2 linked regions of the Lepisosteus oculatus genome follow. The protein of the gene in region 2 interacts with the protein of the main gene of each other region in a biochemical or structural test. Links are inferred from orthologs where the notes say so. Each region holds a gene or a part of one and is shown on either strand. Other genes may lie near its edges.

Region 1 (7,860 bases), on a different chromosome or scaffold from region 2:
CAGCTCCTGTCCGCTGCCCCCCTGACTGGCCCCCCTGCTGAGACCCCGACTGACCAACTGACCCCTGAACGATCCAACCACTGAGCCCTTGACTGACCCACCCGCTGACCCGAACCCCCGCTGAGACCCTGACCGCCAGGGCACACCACCGCCCAGCCACTGACTAACACACCCCTTTGCCCACCCCTGACCCACCCACACCGTCGCCACGGAGACAGACTCACCTTGATCTCGGCCTCAGAGTAGTTGTGCACAATGTTTTTCACTTGTCGCCGTAGCGATGAGGTCGACATGGCAACCACCTGTCCGTCTGTCCTTGCCTCTGTCTAAAGAGAGACGCAGGCTGAGACAGAGACCTGGACACACACACACACACAGGGACACGCAGGGGGTGAATTCCCTCTCTCCTCCGCTCCCGTCAGGGGGATCCTCACCTGTGAAAGTCGAAGCTCGCAGTCTGTCTCGCTCGCTCTCTCTCTCTCTCTCCACGCGTTTACGGATCGCTGTGTCCCTGTCTGCCGGCCTCTCGCCTCGACGACATTGGTCCCGGAACCAAGCAATTGAAGTCACCAAACCCTGCAGGGGAAGGGAACCGCATTCAGCGCCGCACCATCGTTTGGGACTACAAAATTCTGGGAAATGTAGTTCCCACCCCCCGGCACTGCCAGCCTAGGCCCCAGTGACAGTTAGAGCCCTGAGCCTCACACTGTGGGCAGAGCAGGTCAAGAGTGCGAGGTGCACAGCGTCCAGACCCACACCGACCCACCCACTGCACCGCAGTCTGATCCTCTCCAGCTTCACAGCCCTACAGTCCCAGTGGGCAGCAGTCTGATCCGCTCCAGGTGTTGCAGTGTTGTTCCAGTCCCAGTGCGCAGCAGTCTGATCCGCTCCAGGTGTGACGGTGTTGTTCCAATCCCAGTGCGCAGCAGTCTGATCCGCTCCAGGTGTGACGGTGTTGTTCCAGTCCCAGTGCGCAGCAGTCTGATCCGCTCCAGGTGTGACGGTGTTGTTCCAGTCCCAGTGCGCAGCAGTCTGATCCGCTCCAGGTGTGACGGTGTTGTTCCAGTCCCAGTGCGCAGCAGTCTGATCCGCTCCAAGTGTGACGGTGTTGTTACAGTCCCAGTGCGCAGCAGTCTGATCCGCTCCAGGTGTGACGGTGTTGTTACAGTCCCAGTGTGCACCAGTCTGATCCGCTCCAGGTGTGACGGTGTTGTTACAGTCCCAGTGGGCACCAGTCTGATCCGCTCCAGGTGTGACGGTGTTGTTACAGTCCCAGTGGGCAGCAGTCTGATCCGCTCCAGGTGTGACGGTGTTGTTACAGTCCCAGTGGGCAGCAGTCTGATCCGCTCCAAGTGTGACGGTGTTGTTACAGTCCCAGTGTGCACCAGTCTGATCCGCTCCAAGTGTGACGGTGTTGTTACAGTCCCAGTGGGCAGCAGTCTGATCCGCTCCAGGTGTGACGGTGTTGTTACAGTCCCAGTGGGCAGCAGTCTCATCCGCTCCAGGTGTGACGGTGTTGTTACAGTCCCAGTGGGCAGCAGTCTCATCCGCTCCAGGTGTGACGGTGTTGTTACAGTCCCAGTGCGCAGCAGTCTGATCCGCTCCAGGTGTGGCGGTGTTGTTACAGTCCCAGTGCGCAGCAGTCTGATCCGCTCCAGGTGTGGCGGTGTTGTTACAGTCCCAGTGCGCAGCAGTCTGATCCGCTCCAGGTGTGGCGGTGTTGTTTCAGTCCCAGTGCGCAGCAGTCTGATCCGCTCCAGGTGTTAGTGTTGTTTCAGTCCCAGTGCGCAGCAGTCTGATCCGCTCCAGGTGTGACGGTGTTGTTACAGTCCCAGTGTGCAGCAGTCTGATCCGCTCCAGGTGTGGCGGTGTTGTTACAGTCCCAGTGTGCAGCAGTCTGATCCGCTCCAGGTGTGACGGTGTTGTTACAGTCCCAGTGTGCAGCAGTCTGATCCGCTCCAGGTGTCCCGGTGTTGTTACAGTCCCAGTGCGCAGCAGTCTGATCCGCTCCAGGTGTCCCGGTGTTGTTTCAGTCCCAGTGTGTAGCAGTCTGATCCGCTCCAGGTGTGACGGTGTTGTTACAGTCCCAGTGTGTAGCAGTCTGATCCGCTCCAGGTGTGGCGGTGTTGTTTCAGTCCCAGTGCGCAGCAGTCTGATCCGCTCCAGGTGTTAGTGTTGTTACAGTCCCAGTGTGCAGCAGTCTGATCCGCTCCAGGTGTGACAGTGTTGTTACAGTCCCAGTGTGCAGCAGTCTGATCCGCTCCAGGTGTGACGGTGTTGTTACAGTCCCAGTGTGTAACAGTCTGATCCACTCCAGGTGTGACAGTGTTGTTACAGTCCCAGTGTGCAGCAGTCTGATCCGCTCCAGGTGTGACGGTGTTGTTACAATCCCGGATCTGTGTGCCGATCCTGCACGATCAGACAGGACGCCCCTGTGACCCTGCAGGCGTCTCTGCTGGGAAGCCCCGGCACCCCAAAACACTGCTTCCCGAATCGGGGCGGGGATGGACCGATTTCCCAAAAGCCCCATGACCGGAGAGTCTCTCGCCCTGACACGTGCACGCGCCCAGCGGCTCCCTCGCGCCGAGGCACGCACACGCACGCGCGCCCATTGCCGCCCCCACCTCCCCGAGTCTCTGCCCCCCTCTCCCGCACGGTGACGGAGCAGGGCGCCCCCCGACACCCCCGCGCCCGCTTACCTGTCCCCGCCGGGCGCCTCAGCCGCGCTGCGCCATGGAGCCGCGCGTCAGGAGCGAGAAGATCCACAGGGGGGCGGCGGGACGGGCGGGACGCGACATCCACTCCTCTCCCCTCGGGCGTGACGGAGCCCAGCGGTCCCCGCTGCCGTGCGGCCTGATCGCTGACACCCCGGGCAAGCGCCGCCGCTCTGCTTTTATCGCGGCTCGGATCGGAACTGACCCTTCCAAGCCCCACTTCGCTGGGAACGGCAAGATGGCGCCACTTCCGCTTCCGCTTCCGCCCCCTGCCTCACGTGCCCCCCGGGTGGGCGGGGCCGGCTGCCCAGGGAGGGGTGGACGCGTAGATCACCGTGTAGGGCAGACATGCTTCTGCCATCTAAGAGCTCCTCTGCTGTAGATCGTACACACCAGCTTGCTCTTAGACTGCACAGGACGCACATGAGCTAGCTCTTACATTGAATAATATAGACAACTTGTAGCTCTTGTGCTGTATAATGCAGAGATCCTGTAGCCCTTATACTGCATCATCCTGACATCGGCTGGCTCTAAAACTGAATCGTTAAGATATCAGGGATCTCGTATACTGTTTAGTATAAACATTAGCTGGCTCTTATACTGTAAGTTAGCTCTTATACTGTGTAGTGTAGAGATCAGTGAGCTCTTATACTGTAGTGTAGAGATCAGCTAGCTCTTATGCTGCATATTATTGACATTGCACTCGTGTGCTGTAAACTGAAGTATGCTGAAGTATTTAACTGATAACGAGAGGGTCGATGTACAGCAGGCTACACCCTGCACTTATTGGACACACTGTATACACCCTGCCTGATACAGGTGGAGCATAAACTGGGTAGTGTTTATAATAATGCAATGTTTATCAGGTACAATTCAAGGATGTTCAAGTAACATACAACCATATACTTCCAATTCCTATCTATGGAACAGTCTGCAGGGCTCATGTATTACTTACAATACACTACTAGATTATACTATTAGATTATAGACTGTTGCCATACCGAACACAACCATGAATCAGAAAACATTGACATGGAGAGAGTTTACTTGTTTTAAAACAGCTAACTGTTTGAGGGAAACCATGAGTTTAACAATAAAGACAATATGCCTTCTTATGGAGAATTTTTCATTTACAAAACTGATACACAGAAGAGTTACAAAGTAAAAGATGGTCTGTTTTAAGTGCAACTGTTATTCACAAAAGCCACCACTAGAGGCACTGTATAAACACACCTGGAGCCCAGAGTCTTACTGAACACACTGTATACACACACACACACCTGGAGTCCAGACTCTTACTGGACACACTGTATAAACACACACCTGGAGTCCAGACTCTTACTGGACACACTGTATACACACACACACACCTGGAGTCCAGACTCTAACTGGACACACTGTATAAACACACACCTGGAGTCCAGACTCTTACTGGACACACTGTATACACACACACACACACCTGGAGTCCAGACTCTTACTGGACACACTGTATACACACACACACGCCTGGAGTCCAGACTCTTACTGGACACACTGTATACACACACACACACACCTGGAGTCCAGACTCTTACTGGACACACTGTATATATACACACACACACACCTGGAGTCCAGACTCTTACTGGACACACTGTATACACACACACACCTGGAGTCCAGACTCTTACTGGACACACTGTATACACACACACACCTGGAGTCCAGACTCTTACTGGACACACTGTATACACACACACACACCAGGAGTCCAGACTCTTACTGGACACACTGTATACACACACACACACCTGGAATCCAGACTCTTACTGGACACACTGTATACACACACACACACCTGGAGTCCAGACTCTCACTGAACACACTGTATACACACACACCTGGAGTCCAGTCTCTTACTGGACACACTGTATACACACACACCAGGAGTCCAGACTCTTACTGGACACACTGTATACACACACACACCTGGAGTCCAGACTCTTACTGGACACACTGTATATACACACACACACCTGGAGTCCAGACTCTTACTGGACACACTGTATACACACACACCTGGAGTCCAGACTCTTACTGGACACACTGTATACACACACACACCTGGAGTCCAGACTCTTATTGGACACACTGTATACACACACACACCTGTAGTCCAGACTCTTACTGGACACACTGTATACACACACACACCTGGAGTCCAGACTCTTATTGGACACACTGTATACACACACACACCTGGAGTCCAGACTCTTACTGGACACACTGTATATACACACACACCTGGAGTCCAGACTCTTACTGGACACACTGTATACACACACACACCTGGAGTCCAGACTCTTACTGGACACACTGTATACACACAAACACACCTGGAGTCCAGACTCTTACTGGACACACTGTATACACACCCACACACACCTGGAGTCCAGACTCTTACTGGACACACTGTATACACACACACACACCTGGAGTCCGGACTCTTACTGGACACACTGTATACTCACACACACACACCTGGAGTCCAGACTCTTACTGGACACACTGTATACACACACACACACCTGGAGTCCGGACTCTTACTGGACACACTGTATACACACACACACACCTGGAGTCCAGACTCTTACTGGACACACTGTATATACACACACACACACCTGGAGTCCAGACTCTTACTGGACACACTGTATACACACACACACACACCTGGAGTCCAGACTCTTACTGGACACACTGTATACACACACACACCTGGAGTCCAGACTCTTACTGGACACACTGTATATACACACACACACACCTGGAGTCCAGACTCTTACTGGACACACTGTATACACACACACACACACCTGGAGTCCAGACTCTTACTGGACACACTGTATACACACACACACACCTGGAGTCCGGACTCTTACTGGACACACTGTATACTCACACACACACACCTGGAGTCCAGACTCTTACTGGACACACTGTATACACACACACACACCTGGAGTCCGGACTCTTACTGGACACACTGTATACACACACACACACCTGGAGTCCAGACTCTTACTGGACACACTGTATACACACACACACACACCTGGAGTCCAGACTCTTACTGGACACACTGTACACACACACACACCTGGAGTCCAGACTCTTACTGGACACACTGTATACACACACACACCTGGAGTCCAGACTCTTACTGGACACACTGTATACACACACACACACCTGGAGTCCAGACTCTTACTGGACACACTGTATACACACACACACCTGGAGTCTGAAACCTTCTCATCACTGCGGCGATCCTGCTGACTGATGGGATGTGTCTCCAGGCTGCAGGCTGGCTGCCGAGAGCGAGAAGCAGAGCGTCCAGCTGGAGCCTTTCTGTCCATGAAGAGGTTCCCGGTCCCAGCCGGAGCCTCGCTGTGCAAGCGGAGCGTCTGTCCCAGCAGTCATTCCCGCCAAGCGCCTGCTGCCTCGCCTGCTCCTCCGGGGAGCGCTAGCGGGGCCGCGGAGGCGCTGAGAGGACCTCGTGTGTTGTGTTGGCATGGCGATGTCGGGGGCAGATGACCTCATGTGTTGTGTTGGCATGGCGATGTCGGAGAGAGATGACCTCATGTGTTGTGTTGGCATGGCGATGGCTGGCAGAGGCCCCCAGCTGTTACGGCTGTCAACGAGTAACGCTGTGCTGAAAGATCGGGGGGGCGAGGGGGGCAGGGAGAGAGATCGGGGGGCCAGGGAGAGAGATCGGGGGGCCAGGGAGAGAGATCGGGGGGACAGGGAGAGAGATCGGGGGGCTGAGAGATCAGGGGGGCAGGGAGAGATTGGGGGGGCAGAGAGAGAAGGATCAGGGGGCAGGGATAGAGATCGGGGGGCAGAGAGAGAGAGATCAGGGGGGCAGGGAGAAAGATTAGGGGGGGCAGAGAGAGAGAGATCGGGGGCCAGGGTCTGAGGGATCGGGGGGACAGGGAGAGAGATCAGGGGGACAGGGAGAGAGATCAGGGGGCAGAGAGAGAAGGATCAGGGGGACAGGGAGAAAGATTAGGGGGGGCGGAGAGAGAGAGATCAGGGGGCAGGGAGAGATCGGGGGTGCAGAGAGCGAGAGATCGGGGGGGCAGAGAGAGAGAGATCGGGGGGGCAGGGAGAGATCGGGGGGGCAGGGAGAGAGAGGCACTTTGAGTCAGAGTGGGCATTATCACACACAAACAGCACTCCGAGAGCCAGCGGAGAGAGAGGGGGGCGTGTGGTGGAGAGGGTGAAATATGACACACACTCGTGTCACCCAAGCATGTTAATTAGCACATGTTGTTATCTAATTAAGATTCCCTGCTCCTGCTGATTGAAACACAGCTCAATCCCTCAGGCTGGCTGACAGGGGCTCCGGCAGGAGGGACAGAGCCGGACAATATCTCCGGCGAGCCGAGGAGAGAGAGGCTGGGGCACGCGACAGCTCACAGCCAGCGGCTGCTGACAGAGAGACTGCAGAGCCAGAGGGAGAGAGCACAGCCTCACAGCTGCAGAGAGAGAGAGACAGAGTCCAGGAGACAGGGCAGGGACAGAGAGTCTCAGACAGAGCAGGGACAGAGAGTCTCAGACTGAGCAGGGACAGAGAGTCTCAGAGACAGAGCAGGGATAGAGAGTCTCAGACTGAGCAGGGACAGAGAGTCTCAGAGACAGAGCAGGGACAGAGAGTCTCAGACTGAGCAGGGACAGAGAGTCTCAGAGACAGAGCAGGGACAGAGAGTCTCAGAGACAGAGCAGGGACAGAGAGTCTCAGACTGAGCAGGGACAGAGAGTCTCAGACTGAGCAGGGACAGAGAGTCTCAGACAGAGCAGGGACAGAGAGTCTCAGACAGAGCAGGGACAGAGAGTCTCAGACTGAGCAGGGACAGAGAGTCTCAGACAGAGCAGGGACAGAGAGTCTCAGAGACAGAGCAGGGACAGAGAGTCTCAGACTGAGCAGGGACAGTGAGTCTCAGAGAAAGAAGAGGGACATAGATTCTCAGAGAAAGGACAGGGACAGACAGTCTCAGACAGAGCAGGGACAGAGAGAGGGACAGTCTGATCGGGGAGAGAGTTAGGCGTGTAGACGGGGGAATTGGGAAAAAACAGAAATAAATACAGACACAGATCTGTG
Region 2 (7,602 bases):
TACTCCTGTGCAGTGGTGGTGGTGTCTTGTTGGACCAATGTGCATATGAAGGCCTACAAAACCTGTACCTCAGACTCAGACTAATACTGAATATTTGTGCAGAGCAGCCATTTCACAAAAAGAGAGGCCTCCACTCCTCTTTACAAATACTGTATATCACACATCAAGTTTTTCTTCCTTTGCAAAGTATATTGCAAGTACAATAGAATTAAAACTATTAGCTTAAAACCATCAACAGCAGTGGACGCATCCCCTATTAATTCAAATGCACCACTGCATGAGCAAAGAACATTTAAAGTCAAAACGTGCATTTCAGATTGCTGTGATAGCCTACATTTGACCGTGCGCATTACGGTGTAAAACTGTCTTCTAGACATGTGGGTGGGCGAAGATGTGTTATGTTTACAATATGAAATAAGTCAGAAAGAGTATATACAGACATTATAACATATAATTTGTAAATTATCTCATCTTGGGAATGAGCCGTCTTTCTGTCTCCAGCATTAACACGTGGTACTAAGTGAAACATCTAATTATGATACAGTCTACATGGAATGTGTGTGCTCGTTTACCTTAAACTATAAAGTAGATAATAACCTAGGATAAGTTACAGTGAAGCGAGCCTACACTTTGCACACCTGTGGATTTTGCTTTCTCGAGATCTGCACAGGAACGGGGAATAGAATAGGTGCTTCCATAGAAACCATTCTGACCTATAAAATATGACTTTCGCGCACCTGCTGTCAGGCAGGTTTTGAGCGTTCCGGAGGGTTTATCTTACCGATCCTAATTTATTTTTAGGTAGCATTTAGAATACAAGCTTAATGGCTTCGAATACATTCTTTGCATACCATTACAAACAACAAATAACAGAGGTCCTCTGAAAAATGTAGCTAGTTGAAGTGATCGTTCATTATTTATTTTCCCATAAGCTTACTTATCGAGCCCCTGTACACGTTTTTATTTATTAAGTATTATTTTTAATGAAGTCAAACGCAGCGATGGTACCGGAAAGTCTACTAATGACTGACTAATTTGATGAGCTAACCCTCTGGTATCAAGTGCAGTACAGGTGGTTTTGCAAGCTGTTTTCAATGTTATCAGCTGACAGGACAACGGTAAACTAACCCCCACATCTTTCTCTTTAGAATTGTGTTATATACAGTATTAATACGATCATCACACTCTCTGGTAAATTCTATTTTTTAAATTCAGCTGCCGTCTTATAGCGACGCTGAAAGTTAAATAAAGGTTATGTCACAGCTCATCTTGCAACGTGGAGAAAGCGGAAAAGAAGTAGCAAATTAACATCTTTTTGCATAGACAACGAAAAAAATAAAGCAAAAATAAAACGAACAAACACATCCACTCCTGCCTTGAAGGAGAGCGAATTGATTCTCCTAACTATACCAGCTTAGCTGAAAATAAACATTAGTCTTGTTTCCTGTGTACCACCTGAAATGCTTACAGCGAAAGCTTAGCTACTCGAGATCCGTGCTTCTGCTCAAAACTAGCAAACGGAAATTAACAATATTTATACACCGATTTAACCGAGATGGTCAAAGTAATAAGAGCAACAAAATAGCACGGCCATCTTAATAATAAAATCAAACAGCCGACACTTACCTGATGAAGAGTCTCGCTAGGTAGGTGGGATGCTCTGAACAGCTCTATCACTTTACTCGCTGCTAGTTTCCCTGAACTGTCAGCTTGGCACAAACTGTGCAGACCCGAGTAATATCTTTGTTCATTTTCACTCAAGGCAATAAAACTCCCTCCCGTCGCCGTTCCAGGTCCCTGATCCATTCCTGACACATTCAAGAAGACAGTTTCGGAGCTTCACCAGCTCAAAGATAAACAGGCCCCGATCCCCAGAGCGTCGCGTCTGGTCTAAAACAGTGGGGAAAAAACATACAAAAATAAAATAAAAAGAACACGTATCTGCAGTAGCAGAGTTTACATTTCCTTACACTGAGCGCAGTGTGGCGAAGTACAACATCAAGACGCAAGGTGGCGCCATTAGCAAAGAATCCCGAGTTTGACGTCAGCTTGCAAACTCGGAAAGCAATCTTGTAGCTGGTCAGTATCCGATAATTGAAGCGGCAGTGACTCTTATCAATGAAGTTACGATTGCATCGCTGAGTTTTTTTCTGTCGTTGCCAAATAGGCGTAAAACGTGTATGTACAGTATATACACTGTATTTAAGGTCTGTACTTTCAGGTGAAACTGGTGTAGACAGTTCGATAAACAGTTAATCTGGAGTAGTTTAGGGATTTAAAGCCCACAATTATCTTCGTGAATTAAAAAAGATACATGTAATATAGAATGATAGCAAGCTGAATAAGCAGATGTAAAAGTCGCTCACTGTTGCAGTGGATTATTGCAGATCAGACAATTGGAATCTTGAGAATTTTGCCTGAAGTGCAGTACGACACGATCTCATTAACCCTGTTGCTAACCTTAAATCACCGTATGTTCCTTACGTGCTGTGTTTATATCGTATTAAGACGAACACATAAAACTATAGTGTTATAGAAAGCGAGATAACGTGGCGAACATCATCCATCCTGTAGGGATGTGTAATTATTTTTCTATGTGTAATATTATCTAACCATGTTTCACAAAACTTCCCGAATTTAACTCAAATGTTCTGTCATCTTGAGAGCACAGAATAAATTCAGGACTTGATTTATTACAACCCCTGGCAGATATTGTGGTTGCTTGATTAGTAATAGGAATTATACTCTTACACTACAAAAAAATAATAGCTGTAGTTCATCTATGAGTAACCAGTTGAAACATAAATCACTAGTACATTTTAATTAATGTTTATCTTACCTCCAGCAGCTGCCTAAAACAAATGTCCACTTTAGGTCAAAAGCTGAAAGAAGCATGTGATCCGGCTTGCATTACAGTACAGTATGTTACAATGTTGGATAACAGGAAAAACGGCTATTGCAGCAAATACGTCTGGGTTAAAAAAAAAACACTTCCTCGAGTACAACTACTGTAGTAAAACAAACGCAAGCTTTAATAGTCTGTATTGTTGAAAGGCTGTCTGCTGTAAAGTGTTTTTAGACAAGTAAATTAATTTATTCACGCTGCTTTGCAATGGTGACAGCTGGCCTACCCTTGAGGTTTGCATGTTTTTTGAATGACAGGTAAAAGAGTAACGATGTGCAAACCCGCGGTATACCAAGACAGAAATGCATCAATTAAAATACACATCCGTGAAGACGGATATATTTATTGCAGCACATTGTAGCGCTCTTAGGTTCACGTGGGTATGCTCCCTCGCCGCTGCCGCCTCAGGTCAGCCCCCCCACTCCTAGGGACTCGACCCTGGGCCCCCGGCAGCACTCAACAGGGACCCAGCCAGTTGAGCTAAAGGGAAATCTCCCTTCAGCCCGCCAGCTGTGGTCCCTGCTATTCACAGGGAAGGGCGGTGACGTCACCGTGCTGGGAAGCCGGCTCGCACAACTTGTAATGTCGGCCGTATGCGTTACAATATATTTCATTCACTATAGTGTAATGTACTTTTCAGAGTTCAGGTTAAAAAAAAAACTTTACAAAAGAGAAATTTCTAAGAAATAACAAACAGACCAATGGAATAAACATGTTTTTTAAACATCACAAGTTTGAATTAAATTAGTAAAAAGCCCATGTATATTTTACCAGATTAACAGATTAACATGGGCCCAGATGGCTTTTAATTGCAACCTTGTTATCTACCTAATGCATTTCATGTTTGTAAGTTTTGTTTTTGCTTTTACTGGATCAAAAAAAGTAACTATAACACTTCAGGGTTCACATGGGCACCCCTCACCACTGCCACATCAGGTCAGCCCCCCACTGTCAGGGACTCAAACCCAGGCCTCTAGCATCACTCAACAGGGACCCAGCCTCTTAAGCCAAAGGGAGATTTCTCTTTGGGTCAAGAGGCTGGGTCCCTGTTGAGTGATGCCAGAGGCCTGGGTTTGAGTCCCCGACGGTGGGGGGCTGACCTAATGCACCAGTGGCAAGGGTGCCCATGTGAGCCCCGAAGCATTACATAATGAATGCTGTCTATTGGAAATAATACGGGGTTGAGCGGTATGTATAAAAGATTAAGTAATGAACAATCATCTGGAAATCTTTAATTTCAGAGAACAGTAATAAAATAACTGTAGGGGGCGTCGTGAGCTTTAGATATACAATTCATCATTTTGAAATGCATGTTATTTTAACTTAACTTTCTGCCAGCATAACAAAAATCTTCCCATATCACAGACTTTTATTAGGACCAGTATTTTATCCGAGAAAAGGGACAGCAGTTAGAAAACACAGTGGAGATCTGAAAGCAAACGTTAAACAATTTCTTGAAGTTACAAAATATAAAAATAATTCAAGTTGTGTAACCTTTACTAAAATCTTGAAAAGCCATTTAAAATACTGCCAAATACTTTGTTTTAGGAGTGTCAGACTAGTGTAACTCTTAAACGTGTTAAAACTTCAATTTTTTAAACTTTTTTGTAACACCCATGTACTGCTTTTAATGACTTGTAAGAATGTTAGCATTTTTATCACAAACAGAAAACACTGGTACTGTAGATTATTCTTAATATGTTGTAAGGACTTTTTGCTGCAGTGAAATCTTGACTGTGGTATTGCTGTGTGATTTGATTAATTGAATACATTAAATACTCCTCATTAAGCGGAGTGCGTTATACCGCCATTTTGACGGAACGAGTGCTAGGTGATGAATTACTGCCAGTAAATGAGCTGCCTCACAAAGCTGTATTATTGAGCAAAGAAATAGTCAGTTTGGGGTTCTCGGTGGCTCAGGAGGTTGAAGAAAAAATACATTGCAAGAGGAGCCAGACTCTGAGAGAAATTAAGTCGGTTCAGTGCTGAAAATAGAAAGGGACAATTTATTAAGCGTTCAAAAAAAATATATAAGAAAGCTTTGGGACTCCAGTCAGCATGTCAGTAGTTCAGCAGATCTTTGTAGATCTTTGTTTTCTTGAATTACTTTTTAGGAATAAATAATAAAATGTTGATTTAGAAAGAATATTGCTTTAGTTACAATTGCAAAAGCATTAGAATCTGTTCCAAGTAAGGGCATCTGTTCTCCCATAGACATATTATACAGTACATACATTTAAGGAAGCCTAATAAAAAAAAACATGTCATTCGTTAGGCGATGATGTCCATAACATAGACCTGACGTAACATTAGCTTTGAGATCAATATATGTCATTAGTTCTAATGCAATAGTTCTAATAAAAACTGTGATGCATTGTAAAATAAACAGTAGCTTGGTGCAAAAGAAACTCTTGCACTTACTTCTCAATGTTTTGTCTTAAACATCGAGGGAACTTAGTGACTGACTAAAAGAGTACTCTATCTCCATCTCTAAATCATACCAATGTTAAACTAATTGTGTATGTTGACTGTTATACAATCTAATTCCTACAGGAAAGACACAAAAACTATGATAAAAAGTAATTAATTTGCTAAATTAACCGAATTATCTTCTGATTAAACTCCTCTAGCTTCTTGCCTCTAATGTCCTTACAGGAAGTAATGTCTTGTGCTTCCTTATTTCATTTGATTACAATTAAATTATTGTTCTTTATAATTCAATTATGGTTTATTAATTATGGCCCCTACCATACTCCAATAACAATCTCATTTACATTTCACTATACAATGTTTACTGCAATACGTACTCAAAGTATTACAAACCAGCAAAAGAAGGCATATCATGCAAGTAATTTATCTTACATTATGATAATTATTATTATTAAAGATTGAGTCCACAAAAAATAGTCTTTCTGAGAAATACCTGTCATGTGCTTGCTTGATGAAATATCTCAGTCTAGCCAAAATGTCCAGTAAACCCCCAGACATCTTGCAATTTGATGTCATAGAAACCTGATTTGTCTTATTGAAATATGGTGCACCAGGAACAAAATTAAGCATCAAACATTTGATTTGGGTCGTCCAATTAAAAAAAAAATCTTAATGTATTCTTTAGGATAAGGGGGCATTGCTGTTAAGAAAGATAGCTCCCATTTCTTTTAATCCTTTTTGTGTAAATGTTGGATTCTAATAAGTTTTGTAACTTTAAAAAAGTAGAATAAGACAAGGAACACATAGCAAAAAAAAAAAATTGAAATTATTGTAGTGCTGTACATATTTATATGGATTCATTTTATAATAAACAGTACAGGCTACTATAGTTGTATATTGGTATGTCTGTTTCCATTTTTTACTTTGGAACTGGTAAACAGAATAAAACACGCACTTACTACATGCATGAAGGATATAATGTGTATTAGATAATTTAGGAGGTTGGTAAAAAGCGACGGGTATGACATTTAATTATTTGCATCACTTTTAATTTGTCTGTGACTGTATATGTCTAACAAGGAGGTTGTATTTTAAACTTTCATTTCACTGTTACCTTTATACTGATTGCCAGATTTAATAAAAGCTGAAATGAGGCTGCAGAAATGAACTCTCAGCAAAAGAAAAAGTTAATATCCAGTCCTGGTAAGGAATTAATAGTACCACAGGACACTGATTTTCAGGCTAGTTTAGTTAGTTAAGATTGCCTCTTCTTTCTAGGTATGCAGAAAAACACATGACAAGAGAAATGGAATGTGATTTAAATTCTGTTCTCATTACATGAAACAGGTTTGACAGTTATAGCACGGTCCCAAGGTTACAGAAAAGTTAAAGTTTAATCAGTTGATGCATGATACTGGCAGAAAACACAGAAAATATACAGTATTTGTTTAAAATAAATAAATTTAAGGTCGGTGTAAAAGGATTATACACTTTACATGCTTGATGAGGAAGCAGAACACAAGATCAATTTACCAAAGTGTGGAAGAAGTAGGGATCAACAGATCACCTGATGGGCAGTCCTTTTGTTTTTTTCTGTATTAGTGGAATCAATTCTCAGTATTCAACACAATATGCCTACATGTATTTTGAGTGACTTTGTTACAATCAACAAGATAAAAGTAAAGCCTTCGTGTTAGGGGCACATAGGCTGCAAAATATGCTGGAAACTCCAATATCTTCAGGGTATCATATTGTTCTGAATAAAAACAGATTACATCAACTTGTGTGTTTACCAGATAATCTGTCTATCCCAGTCAATCTTATCAGCCCTTGCTTCTGCACAGGCAAACATATCCTTTTTTGCTTTCTATAAATGCACGTTTTTCAAATCTAATTAAACACGCCCTTCTAGGGAAAATGAGCACATCAGAAACCTGTTTGCACATATTCAGAGGTTGCCATGTCTCAGTCAGGGTTGTATGAGCCTGGGTTAATAATTAAACCCTTTCTAAACCTCCCCTTTTATATTTTCGATCCCACACTGTTCTAATCCTTGGCCACACTGAACTTAACATTGCCTTGGATATTTTGCTCTCTTCTTTTCACACTTGGGAAGGATGCTAGCGGGACTCTTGGTTTTGTTGATCTTAATGCCAGCTCTTGCAGTGGCTGCGTGTGAACCCAGTAAGTAAATCTGTATCATCTTCTAAAAGGAAACACATTACAATTGACATTTTTGGTGATATCATGTTCTTTTGCGAACCAGC

Evidence for each region. The genes of interacting proteins can lie anywhere in the genome.
Region 1: the proteins of reps2 (region 2) and epn1a form a complex in vitro, tested with the Homo sapiens proteins (3 studies listed by BioGRID and IntAct, with this or other methods). The link is inferred for Lepisosteus oculatus from reciprocal best matches to the Homo sapiens genes REPS2 and EPN1.

What each region holds. Positions count from the first base shown.
Region 1 is NC_090718.1:1,393,777-1,401,636, reverse strand, and holds the start of epn1a (epsin-1), read right to left. Parts: upstream 3,008-7,860; 5' UTR 2,700-3,007; intron 577-2,699; 5' UTR 435-576; intron 327-434; 5' UTR 294-326; coding exon 225-293; intron 1-224. UniProt on the Homo sapiens protein: Binds to membranes enriched in phosphatidylinositol 4,5-bisphosphate (PtdIns(4,5)P2). Modifies membrane curvature and facilitates the formation of clathrin-coated invaginations. Regulates receptor-mediated endocytosis.
Region 2 is NC_090710.1:20,782,947-20,790,548, forward strand, and holds the start of reps2 (ralBP1-associated Eps domain-containing protein 2), read right to left. Parts: upstream 3,005-7,602; 5' UTR 2,840-3,004; intron 1,981-2,839; exon of another isoform or gene 1,891-1,980; 5' UTR 1,807-1,890; coding exon 1,627-1,806; intron 1-1,626. Other genes in the region: cltrn (collectrin), read left to right, coding at 7,453-7,519. UniProt on the Homo sapiens protein: Involved in ligand-dependent receptor mediated endocytosis of the EGF and insulin receptors as part of the Ral signaling pathway. By controlling growth factor receptors endocytosis may regulate cell survival.